2 linked regions of the Macaca mulatta genome follow. The protein of the gene in region 1 interacts with the protein of each later gene in a biochemical or structural test. Links are inferred from orthologs where the notes say so. Each region holds a gene or a part of one and is shown in the gene's direction. Other genes may lie near its edges.

The links.
Region 2: the proteins of LRRK1 (region 1) and GPBP1L1 form a complex in vitro, tested with the Homo sapiens proteins (2 studies listed by BioGRID and IntAct, with this or other methods). The link is inferred for Macaca mulatta from reciprocal best matches to the Homo sapiens genes LRRK1 and GPBP1L1.

Annotation. Positions count from the first base shown.
Region 1 is NC_133412.1:91,420,959-91,427,424, forward strand, and holds part of LRRK1 (leucine-rich repeat serine/threonine-protein kinase 1), read left to right. Parts: intron 1-759; coding exon 760-1,009; intron 1,010-1,891; coding exon 1,892-2,058; intron 2,059-2,192; coding exon 2,193-2,390; intron 2,391-3,922; coding exon 3,923-4,200; intron 4,201-5,848; coding exon 5,849-6,043; intron 6,044-6,466.
Region 2 is NC_133406.1:194,949,175-194,955,640, forward strand, and holds part of GPBP1L1 (vasculin-like protein 1), read left to right. Parts: intron 1-3,730; coding exon 3,731-3,860; intron 3,861-4,221; coding exon 4,222-4,508; intron 4,509-6,466. UniProt on the Homo sapiens protein: Possible transcription factor.

The DNA of each region.
Region 1 (6,466 bases):
GCAGTTTGACAGGTGGATCCCTTAGACAGTCACCTGAGATGGAAAGGGCTCTGGTGAGCACCTGAGACAGGCTGCCTGGAGCTGGCATCCCCAGCCAGGGGCCCCTCCCAACGGGATGCCTTACACATGGACCTACAGATATCAGATGTGCCTGGAAAGTTCTAGGCATCCACTTCCTACCCTGCATGAAGCAGGCAGTTGGCCTGCCCTGAGGGCACCTCCACAGGGCACCTTGGAGGGTGTTTCTCTGCACCTCCTATCAGAGGCGTGGGAGGGAACCCATGTCCACTGACTCAGTTTTGTCTGTGATAATTTGCACTCATTTCTCCCCCTGCATTGCCCTTCATAGACATTGCAAACCTGATGTTTCTAATTGTAGGAAGAGTGGTTTCCACACTGCTGTGATTGTTGGAGGATAGCTCAGACCTAGTCTGTAATGACCTGTTAGGGCCCAGTCATGCAGGAGGGATCCCCACCCTCCTCTCAGGCCCCCCAGCCAGCCTGCTCAGGGTCCCGACCACTGGGCAGTTCTCAGAAGCATCCTGAACCCTCCCTAGACGCATCTTTCAGGACAAACAATTGCGCTCTCCAAAAAGGCACCTGAATGTGGCAATGGGTTTCGGCCTGTCTCTCGGGTACAGGCCAGGACAGGCAACTCCCCTGCTGTGAAGGCCTCGGGGCCTGGGGTACAGAGTGCTGCTCAGGGGCCCTCCTGCACCTCCTTCTTGTGAAGCTGTCTCTTGCTCTGTCCTTATTTAGCCCTGACGGCCACAGAGAGTGACGGGACTCCACTCATGGAGCAGTATGTGCCCTGCCCAGTCTGCGAGATAGCCTGGGCCCAGCACACAGACCCCAGTGAGAAATCAGAGGGTGTGCAATACTTCGACATGGAAGACTGCGTCCTCACAGCCATCGAGCGGGACTTCATCTCCTGTCCCAGACACCCGGACCTCCCCGTGCCGCTCCAGGAGCTGGTCCCTGAACTGTTCATGACCGACTTCCCGGCCAGGTATACCCCGAAGGCCCCTCCCAGAACACAGTGCAGGTCACAGGGGGCGCTCCTCGTTGTGCAGTTGCCAAGTGATCTCCAGGAAGACCCCTCCGGAGCTGGCAGATGCTCCAGCCATCACTTCCCACCAATCTCAGTAGCTTTTTAGGTTCCCATCCTCGGCTGCCTGAAGGGTACAGGCTGCTGGCTTTCCATTTTGGAGGCCTTGGTAGGCCCAGCTGGGAAAAGCGCTTTGCAAGTGCAGCCATCCTGTCTCCCCATATGCCTCCCCCTTCCCCTCGTAGCCAGAGCTGCTCTCTCCTGAGCTGCCTCTCCTTTCCAGTCCTACCTCCCCACCAGCTCCTGGGCCAGCAGATAAGCACAGCCGGCACTCCTCGGGCATTCAGGAAGGGGAGAGCTCCCACCCAGAGCCTTGTTTACCTCCTTTGTCAAACGCTGACTCCTATCTGTAACCCTAGTGCTCAGCATTGGACCCCTCAAATCTGTTCTTAGAGTTTATTCTACCTATGCTAACCCAAGATGATAACTAGGGAGAGAATTGGGGAGGAAATAGGAAACGTCACCTTTCAGAAGAAAACTTCCAAAGGGATCCTTTCTCTATGGCCACCACTTCCGTGGACTTCACCCTGTACCAGCCATCATCACCTCTGAGGCTGTTCGGGTCCTGAGCCCACTTTACAGAGGAGACTGAGGCTTAGCAAGCCTCCATAACCCACCCAGGTGTGCCCACCCGCAAGTGGCAGGGCCGGGGTGGCCCAGATCTGTCCAGCCTCACAGATGGCTTTGAACCATGACTCTCGGCCATGGGGACAAATGACCCAGCCCAGGACCCACCTGCGTCAGGGCCGGGGCGATGTGGCTGATGCCAAGTGTGTGTGGCAGGCTCTTCCTGGAGAACAGCAAGCTGGAGCACAGCGAGGACGAGGGCAGCGTCCTGGGCCAGGGTGGCAGTGGCACCGTCATCTACCGGGCCCGGTACCAGGGCCAGCCCGTAGCTGTCAAGCGCTTCCACATCAAAAAATTCAAGAACTTTGCTAATGTCCCGGCAGGTAAGCGGGTCCCAGGTTGGTGCTGTTTTTCTCAGACATATGCTGCCCGGGTCTAAGCTCTGTGCCACCTTAGAGAGACCTGAGGCTGCAGGCACCCCGTGTCCTGCTGGCTGACACTGCGCTTTCCACGGCAGACACCATGCTGAGGCACCTGCGGGCCACGGACGCCATGAAGAACTTCTCTGAGTTCCGGCAGGAGGCCAGCATGCTGCACGCGCTGCAGCACCCCTGCATTGTGGCGCTTATCGGCATCAGCATCCACCCGCTCTGCTTCGCCCTGGAGCTCGCGCCACTCAGCAGCCTCAACACCGTGCTGTCCGAGAACGCCAGAGGTACCGCGGTGCGCCGCCCCACCCAGCTCCTGAGACCAACAGAGCCCCAAGGGCCTCCTGCCTGGCACAGGGGTAGAGCCTCAGGTGGCCTTGGCAAGCCCACGGCACACCCAACCCATGGTTCGTGTGACCATCCCCTGGGTGTGAGGCCAGGCACCTCGCCAGGTCCAGTCACTGGGCAGAGCCTTGGCGAGGACGGCAGAGGGCACGCTGTGGAGTCGGCTAAGACCAGGCTCTGCCACAGTCCAGGAAGCTGCTGAGTTTATTTGCCTATAAAAGGAGGATGATAACATCCTCTCTGGGAGGGCACCAAGCACATGAGCTGCATTAAATCACTTTCTTAACTGCACATGCACACCACTGCTGAGACTCAGATCCTAGGATCAGTGGGACCATACTATATTTTAAAATAAAACGTTAAAGTAATTTACGTTGAGAAATGAGCAACTAAACTCCAGAGTTGCCAGAGGGTGACTAGGGAAGAAGAAATGCTATTAAAATGAATCACTTCCGCCTCAATGGAAGATAATTTTTTAAACAAAATTCTTTATTTTATTTTATTTTTATTTTATTTTTTTCATACAGGATCTTGCTTTGTTGGCCAGGCTGGAGTACAGTGGTGCAATCTCAGCTCACTGCAGCCTTGACCTTCTGAACTCAAGCAATCCTCCTACCTCAACTTCCCCAGTAGCTACAAGCATATGCCACCACACCCAGCTAATTTGTTGTTTTGTTTTTTGTAGAGATGGCCTTTCGCCCTGTTGCCCAGGTCGTTCTCGAACTGTGAGCTCAATCGATCCCCCCACTTTAGCCTCCCAAAGTGCTGGAATTACCAGCATGAGCCACCACACCCAGCCAAACAAAATTCTTCTACTTGCAACTGACCCCTTTACGTAGGACAGCCTTGACCTGAGATGAACTCTAGAGATTTCGAATCCTTGCTCATTCAGCAAAACTGCCAGCAATTCCAGGAATAAGGTATCATGAATGAAGCTATAGTGATGAGCACTTCTATCCTAAATACTATTTCACTTAACCAGGCCATTCTCTGCCCCTTCTGGCAGTCTGGTGAATAGTGAGAATGTGTCAATAGAATATAAAGTATCTAGGGGCCAGGTGCAGTGGCTCACATGTGCAATCCCAACACTTTGGGAGGCCCAGACGGGCAGGTCACTTAAAGCCAGGAATTCAAGACCAGCCTGGCCAACATGGTGAAACCCCATGTCTACTAAAAATACAAAAGTTAGCCAGGCATGGTGGCATGTGCCTGTAGTCCTAGCTACTCAACTTGGGAGGCTGAGGCATGAGAATTGCTTGAACCCTGGAGGCAGGGTTTGCAGTGAGCTGAGATCGTGCCACTGCACGCCAGGCTGGGTGACAGAGGGAGACTCTGTCTCAAAAAAAGAAAAAAGAAAAAAAGAATATATAGTATCTAGGGAGATAGGAAGACAAAAAGACAGTTGCTATCATGATAATTTGATTCTATCAAAACTGAAATTTTGATACATTTGAAAATTGTTTTTCTTTGCAAGATTCTTCCTTCATACCGCTGGGACACATGCTCACCCAAAAAATAGCCTACCAGATTGCCTCGGGCCTGGCCTACCTGCACAAGAAAAACATCATCTTCTGCGACCTGAAGTCGGACAACATTCTGGTGTGGTCCCTTGACGTCAAGGAGCACATCAACATCAAGCTATCTGACTACGGGATTTCGAGGCAGTCATTCCATGAGGGTGCTCTAGGCGTGGAGGGCACTCCTGGCTACCAGGCCCCAGAGATCAGGCCTCGAATTGTATATGATGAGAAGGTATCTGCCTGGATCCCCTGGCCCAGCCCCACAATGCAGGAGCCCAGCCCTGAGGCTAGCCAGGCATTCCTGGAGGCACCTGCAGCTTCGGGGCTCAGCATCCCCAAAAGCACATTTTTCTCCCTCTCCCTTGCTCCATGAGGGAGGTTCTGGCTTGAACCAGAAGGGAGCAGGGGCCTATGTCTGTCTGCTTGTAGCAAGATTGACTTCTCCTTAGCCTCAGAGTTCTCAAACCTTGATTCAGAAACATTGTAGAGGCTGTAAACAGCAGATGAAGAGTCCAAGACAGAAACACGTCTGGATTTGGGCTCCAACTCACATTTAGATGTGCACAATGAGGACACAGGACCAGCCTTGCAGGGCACTCAGGAGGAGTAGACAGAATAAGGACGGTAAAGACCCCTGTCCTTAAGTCCTGGTCACAGGGTGCTGGCCAAGTTGAATGCCGAACCAGGAGAAGAGTGAAAGGACAAGCTGGCATCCCCAGGCAACTGCGCTGCCAGCCTCAGTTGAGACAATGACTAAATATTGATCTTCTAATAACATTTATCCCTGATGGCTATTTGGTAGATGCAGGCCCACAGACAACTTAAAGTCATCTTACCATGCATGTATTGCATCTAGTACCAGCCTTGTTAATTAATCACCCAGCATTAAAATTCTCTTGTCTATAATTTCTTATTATTTGGTGATTTTTCAGATGGTCATTGACTAATTGCTGTAGGAATGACCTGTGCATGTGTGGATTAGCTCAGCACCTGTGGCTGTTGCCCAAGATAGAAAAGGCAAATCAAAGCAACAAAAATAAGAGCTTCACAATAGTAGGTGACTTCAATAAGGAGGTCACCTTGAAACTCAGATTATCATGGAAACATTCACATTTGAAATTCTCAAGTCTATTTCAGCCATTCTCCTGCTAAAATATTATTTCTTGACCCTTATAGGGGTCTGTATAAATTTTCCTTGCTGGACCTTTTTATGATTATGAAAATTAGAGAAGGCAACATGTTGTGATCCAGGAGACACTCCTTTTTTTATGAGTTGCATACACAGCACTTTTAGTACCAAGCACATCAAGCTGAGGGTATGTGTTTTCCTGCCTTGTCTTGCTACTCACGGATAAGGACCATGACCTCCTTGGAGTCCTTAATCAGTGACTAACAGCAAGTTCTCAGTATGTTTTATTGGACGGAAGGAAGGATGGATGGATGGATGGATGGATGGATGGATGGATGGATGGATGGATGGGACAATGGGCAAATGGACGATATGGTGGGAAGTCAGATGGATGGGTGGATGGAAAAGAGGAAGGATAGGAAGATAGATGGATAAATGTGCAGGACAGGTGGTCAGATGGATGGACAGATGAGAAGAATGGATAAATGTACAGGAAGACAAGCAAATGGATGGATGGATGGATGGAAAGAAGAAAGGGTAAGAAAATGGAGAGATAAATGGATAGAAGAGAAAGTGGTCAGATGGGTGGATGGATGGGTAGTTGGGAGGATGGATGGATAAATGGACAGAGGGACATGGTCAGGTGGTTGGTTGAATGTTTGTTTTCCTTGTCTAATTGTCAACCTCAGGGCCAACTAGTGAAGGCCACTGGGCCCAGGCAGGGACCTGACTTGGCTTATTCTGTGCCCAGGTAGATATGTTCTCCTATGGAATGGTGCTCTACGAGTTGCTGTCAGGACAGCGACCTGCACTGGGCCACCACCAGCTCCAGATTGCCAAGAAACTGTCCAAGGGCATCCGCCCAGTTCTGGGGCAGCCGGAGGAAGTGCAGTTCCATCGATTGCAGGCACTCATGATGGAGTGCTGGGACACTAAGCCAGAGAAGGTACTTGGGAGCACAAAGCCCAGGGCCCTGGGACCTCCTGCCATGTGGCAGAAGCTGTGGGTCCCCAGAGTATGTGTGTGTGGCTGCCCACCCGTCACAATTGGCGACCCTTCTCTGCTCATTTCTTCTAGAGGGTGATATTTGCTGCTTCTAACATATCTACTTTCATTTTCTTTGTGTGTGCATGTCACTCTTAGGAAACAAACTTCCTTTTCCTCCCCAACTTTTGTGTTACTTCACCATGCAAACAAAGTATATCAGCCCCTTTATAACAATACAGTCCCTGTGCAAGAACAGAGAGAATGTGGGTATCTCTTTCTAAAGTAACGGGGAAAAGGTTTGGTTGTGAGAATCAGAGATCATATTATAGTGTTAAGGCTAGTTTTTTGTTGGTGGTGTTTTTGTGTTTTTGGAAGAGGCTAG
Region 2 (6,466 bases), on another chromosome or scaffold:
ATTAAACATACTTGCTAACCTGTTGTCGAGGTCAAAGGGGCACAAGTAAAAGGGGAATGGCACTTGGGTAAACAGACCTTTGGATTGAACACACATTTGTTTATGGCAATAGATGAAGAGGAGGAAAAGGTAGAGACAGTGATTGTTCAACTACTACATGGATCTCAGATTAAATTCTAAAAACTGTTTTAGAGGCATTAACCTACTTAATAGTTTCAGGGGAGATGTGTGTTGTATTAGGGGTAAACGCAAATGGAATTACCAGTTTATATAGATTAAAGCAGACCTAGTCACAGTACACAAAAGAATCAGCCTGAGTTATTGATAAAACGTTTGGGAAGCTAGTAAACTTAAAAGCGTTTCCCATTTTGCCAACGAATAGAGGAAGAGTGAAATTGGTAGGCATTCTCAAAAAGGCCTACCTTTCCTATTTTAAAATGTGGACTTCGGGAAAGTGCTTCTGGTCTCATCTAGACCAATGGTCTTTTCTTTGAACTTCATTTTATTTCAACTTTCTTTTACTTATTTATTTTTGAGACAGGGTGTCTGTCACCCGGGCTGGAGTACAGTGGCATGGTCATAGCTCATTGCAGCCTTGAACTCCCGGGCTCAAGCAGTCCCCTCACCTTAGCCTCTAGAGTGGCTGGTACTACAGGCGAGCACCACCATGCCCGGCTAACTTTTTTGGTTTTTTTTGTAGAGATAGAGTCTCACCATGTTGCCCAAGGTGTTCTAGAACTGGCCTCAAACGATCCTGTCACCTCAGCCTCCAGAAGTGCTGAGATTACAGGCATGAGCCACTGTACCAGCCTAAACTTCATTTTGGGATTTTTGTTTGTTTTTTTATAGACAGGGTCTTACTCTGTTGCCCAGGCTGGAGTGCAGTGGTGCGATCATGGCTCACTGCAGCCTTGACTTCCCTGGCTCAAGCGATTCTCCTACCTCATCCTCCAAGGTAGCTGGGACTATAGGCGTACACTACCACTTCCAGCTAATTTTTTGTATTTTTTTGTAGAGATGGGGTTTTGCCATGTTGCCCAGCTGGTCTTGAAATCCTGGGCTCAAGTGATGTACCTGCCTCAGTCTCCCAAAGTGCTGGTATTACAGCAGTGAACCACCACACCCGGTTCTAAACTTAATTTCAAATTGTATTAATGAAATTTGCAGGATCTTATAATTGGCCTAATCTGACCCAAGGCTTGGAGCTAGTGGGCTACATGAGAAGTACACAGATCTATCAGAGAAGAATAATTGTTTTAGCACAGTGAACTAAGTAAAAAGAATTAGAAGACATTCTTTCATTTTCAAAACTATAGTAAGCAAAGTCCTGTGGTTTTGGCATAAGGGGATAGACATAAAAGGAATATAATAGAATAGTGAGTTCAAAAATAGGCCTGTAGAGGCTGGGCTCCGTGGCTCATGCCTGTAATCCCAGCACTTTGAGAGGCTGAGGCAGAAGGGTTGCTTGAAAGCCAGGAGTTTGAGACCAGCTTGGGCAGCAAAGTAAGACCTTGTCTCTACAAGAAAAATTTGAAAAAAACTAGGCAGGTGTGGTGGCGAATACCTGTCATCCCAGCTACTCGGGAGGCTAAGGCGGGAGGATCACTTGAGCCAAGGAGTTTGAGGCCACAGTGAGCTATGATCGGGCTACTGTACTCCAGTCTGGATGACCGAGTGAGACCTTGGCTTTTAAAAAAACAAGGAAAAGGCTTATGTATGTATTTCGTTGATTTTTGACTAAAGTACAAAGGTAATTCAATGAGGAAGTGATAGTGTTGTGTTTTTGAACTAGAAGAACTAGCTTCTATCTGTATGGGGGCAGGGTAAAGAACCTCAGCGTTTGCTTCATACACAGAAAAATTAACTTGAAATGGAACATAAGTTAAAAAGTTAAAACTGTAAGACTTTTAAGAGAAAACAGGAGAAAATCTTTTTACCCACTCGAATGGGTAAAATATTGGCAAGGATATTGATAGTAAGAAAAGTAAATGTAGGCCGGGCGCGGTGGCTCACGCCTGTAATCCCAGCACTTTGGGAGGCCGAGGCGGGCGGATCACAAGGTCAGAAGATCGAGACCACGGTGAAACCCCGTCTCTACTAAAAATACAAAAAATTAGCCGGGCGCGGTTGTGGGCGCCTGTAGTCCCAGCTACTCGGGAGGCTGAGGCAGGAGAATGGTGTGAACCTGGGAGGCGGAGCTTGCAGTGAGCCGAGATCACGCCACTGCACTCCAGCCTGGGCGACAGAGCGAGACTCCGTCTCAAAAAAAAAAAAAAAAAAGAAAAGTAAATGTAAACATGCTCTGACTTAGGTTTTCCGTGCCAAACATACCCATATTTTCATGGCTTTATGGACTTTGGTCTCTATAATTTAAGAATGTCATAGAATAGGCCGGGCACGGTGGCTCATGCCTGTGGTCCCAGCACATTGGGAGGCCAAGGTGGGCAGATCACGAGGTCAGGAGATCAAGACTATCCTGGCTAACATGGTGAAACCCCGTCTCTACTAGAAATACAAAAAATTAGCCGGGCGCAGTGGCAGGCGCCTGTAGTCCCAGCTACTCAGGAGGCTGAGGCAGGAGAATGGCATGAACCCAAGAGGCAGAGCTGGCAATGAGCCGAGATAGCTCCACTGCACTCCAGCCGATGTGACAGAGCGAGACTTCGTCTCAAAAAAAAAACAAAAAACAAAAAATGAATGTCATAGAATAAAATTCTTTGAAATAGGAAGGGATATTAGAGTTAATCTATAAAGTTTCTCAGACTGCTTCCTTTCAGTTTTATTACCTCAGAGACTTATTTTTTTCTCTCTTGACCTCTTTCATTGTGTGTAAATGAGTAAAATGGGTATGATGCCAAAAGTTTAATATTGTTACAAGTATTATATCTGGAAATAAATGTTTTATAAAACTATAAGAACTCTAGTAGCTCGGTGCTGTGGCATACACCTGTAATCCCAGAACTTTGAGAGGCCAAGGCAGGAGGATTGCTTGAGGCCAGGAGTGAGAGATCAGCCTGGGCAAAATAGTGAGACCTCCATCTCTACAAAAAATTTAAAAGATTAGCCAGACTTAGTGGCATGGGCCAATAGTTCTAGCTGCTCCATAGGCCGAGGCAGGAGGATCCTTTAAGCTCAAGGGTAAGCAGCTGCAGTGAGCTTTGATTGTGCCACTGCACTCCAGCCTGGGCAACCATGAGACTTCATCACTTTTTTTAAAAAAAAAAAAAAAAACTCTGTAATTACTACCGACCTCCTAGGGTGATATTTCAACCATTGCCTTCACCCTTATTCCAGAAATACTAAAACTTTAGGATTATTTTTGAGGCAATCGTTTTGATTTTCCTCTCTTACAAGATAAATATTTTTAAGTGTAAAGTTTTGGAGCTTATACTTACAGATATTTGCAAGGTTTTTTTTCCCCTCCCCCTCCTTTCATGCAAACAATTGAAGTGGCTAGCTTTTCTCCTCTCCAATATTTATTATTGGAATAAATATTTATTCCAATATTTATTATTTGGAATAAAGGAAGTGAATTAATGATTGAATATATAACCCAGGACTTCTCTAAATTAGGCACCTGGGGGTACCCTTAGGGTCTATATGTTTATAATACGGGGTTTCTATCACCATTATTACTTGTTTTTTGAAGGCCTGATGCAAAGCCTATTAAGATATTGAAAGGGACTAATAGCTGTTTATCCATTTGCCTCTCCATACTTCATCATCTTAGTCACCTACTGCCACCTTCGAAAAACACGGAGAGCACCTGCCTAGAGGAGAAGGTAGATTTGGAGTAAGCCGCCGTCGACATAATTCCTCTGATGGTTTTTTTAACAATGGTCTCCTACGAACTGCAGGAGGTGAGCTGTGTCCAACTTTCATGACTATATTTAAGCTACTCATTTAGGACAAGCCCGGGCTGTGGGTATGTGTCTGTAATCTTGAAATAGGATCTTTTCTGAACATAGTTTTCATTTAGATTCTCTAGTAGTCATTACACAACTACATTTCTTTCTAGGTCTAACTATGATTATGATTCTCGTGAATCATCTATTCAGTTGGACTGATTTCAGAAATTACCTCACAAAGAAAAGATACATTTTGTGATTTTTTTGTGTGTGGACTTTTTTTTAACAAGTTCCCCTGAAGGCCTTTTGCCGATACCTTAAACCAAATCAGGAAGCAAACAATGTAATTAGTTCCTTTTCTTTACTATTCTAGATTCTTGGCACCAGCCCTCCCTGTTCCGCCATGATTCTGTGGACTCTGGTGTCTCTAAGGGAGCATATGCTGGAATCACAGGGAACCCTTCTGGTTGGCATAGCTCCTCCCGAGGTCATGATGGCATGAGCCAGCGTAGCGGAGGTGGCACAGGGAACCATCGCCACTGGAATGGCAGCTTCCACTCCCGAAAAGGGTGTGCTTTTGCGGAAAAGCCACCTATGGAGATTAGGGAAGAAAAGAAAGAAGACAAGGTGGAAAAGTTGCAGTTTGAAGAGGAGGACTTTGTAAGTATGGATCTTTAGATGTATGGTTAGAAGCCGACAAATAATGTCTGAAATATGAGACCCTGTTAGTAATGAGAGCATTTCAGAAATTACAGAAAAAGGAATTTGTAAGTTGAGGTTTTTATTGTTTTTAGAGGAAAGGGGTTAAGTTGATAACATTTGAAAATGGTGACCAAAACTCCTATGTAACTTGTAGCAAATTTTTCATTTTTGTGTCTTTGGAATTTAGAAAAATCTTTAATTTCTCTTAAGTCTTACAAAGTTTACTGAGATATAATTTATGTTAAAATGTACTCTTGCGTGTTAAATAGTCTTTTTTCCAGCTATGATAAAACATTTTTTCTCTTGATTTTGTTCTCTATCATATAAAATTACTGTGATATGAACATGTAATTGGGAGTATTTTCGCTGTTGCCTATATATTCAGTAACACTTGGTGTTACTGTGTGTTAAATTACATGCCTTTTGGCCTCTTGAAGGTAGCATTTTTAGAGTATCTATAAAATGTTTAAAATATATTTTATTTAAGAAAAAATTATCAGGCTGGGCTCGGTGGCTCATGCCTGTAATCTGAGCCCTTTGGGAAGCCGAGGCAGTTGGATCACCTGAGGGCAGGAGTTCAAGATCAGCCTGACCAACATGGTGAAACCCCATCTCTACTAAAAATACAAAAATTAGCTGGGCTTGGTGGTAAGCGCCTATAATCCCAGCTGCTCGGGAGGCTGAGGCAGGAGAATCATATGAACCCAGGAGGCATAGGTTGCAGTGGGCTGAGATTGGGCCATTGCACTCCAACCTGGGCGATAGAGCGAGATTCTTTCTTAAAAAAAGAAAAAAGATTATCATTTTAACAAATCAGTATCTTTAAGTTGGCCAGGCATAGTGGCTCATGCCAGTAATCCCAGCACTTTCAGAGACCAAGCCAGGAGGATTGCTTGATGCCAGTTGTTTGAGACCAGCCTGGGCAGCACAGCAAGACCCTTGTCTCTATAAAATTTTTTTAAAAATTAGCTGGGCATGATGGCACATGCCTGCAGTCCCAGCCACTAGGGAGACTGAGGCAGGAGGATTACTTGAGTGCTGGAGTTTGAGGCTGCAGTGAGCTATGATTGCACCACTGCATTCATGCCACCACGCCCAGCTAATTTTTTTATTTCTTATAGAGACTAGGTATCACTGTGTTGCCCAGGCCAGTCTCGAATGCCTGACCTCAAGTGATCTTCCCATCTCGGCCTCCAAAAGTGCTAGGATTACAGACACCAACCACCGCACCCAGCCTCTAGCTGTTTTTAAGTAGCACATCAGTCAGTCACTTCTGTTATAGCCATTTCATCAATTAATAGAGTCACCTAAAGAGGAGTGAAATTTAGGCATTAGGTCCTCTACCCTCAAGTCTAGGAAGTGACCTGGGGTCTTGATTTAAATTATATATTAATGTGAATTCCTATTCCCAGGTGACTGTTCTTCAAAATTTTATCCTCAGGAAGGTCTATACTGCCCTTACATATTGAATATTTGTCCAGAATGTTCTAGATAACAAATAGTCCAAAAATTACTGTAATTTCAAACGTAATTTTTATTATTTATACAACAAACTTATAAGCAAATCCAAGAAAGACCAGTGGGAATGATTTGAAAATATAATCTATGTTGCTCATTACACTTAAGCAACTTGATGAAATTCTTATCAAACTAGCAACAAAAGCATTAGCAACAGAACTGGTGGACATGGGTGGCGTGCACCTATAGCCCCAGCTACTTGGCAGGTGGAAGCAAGACTCCATCTCTTAAAAAAAAGAAATGCAACAATTATAGTATATTCTTATTAAAAAACTACTTTCCTTTAATACTTTTATTCTATGATTAAATAAACCCATGATGATTTTAACATCATTTGTATCTGAAATGAAAGAGTATATGTAATAATATAACCATAACCAACTGTGCATATAGAAAAA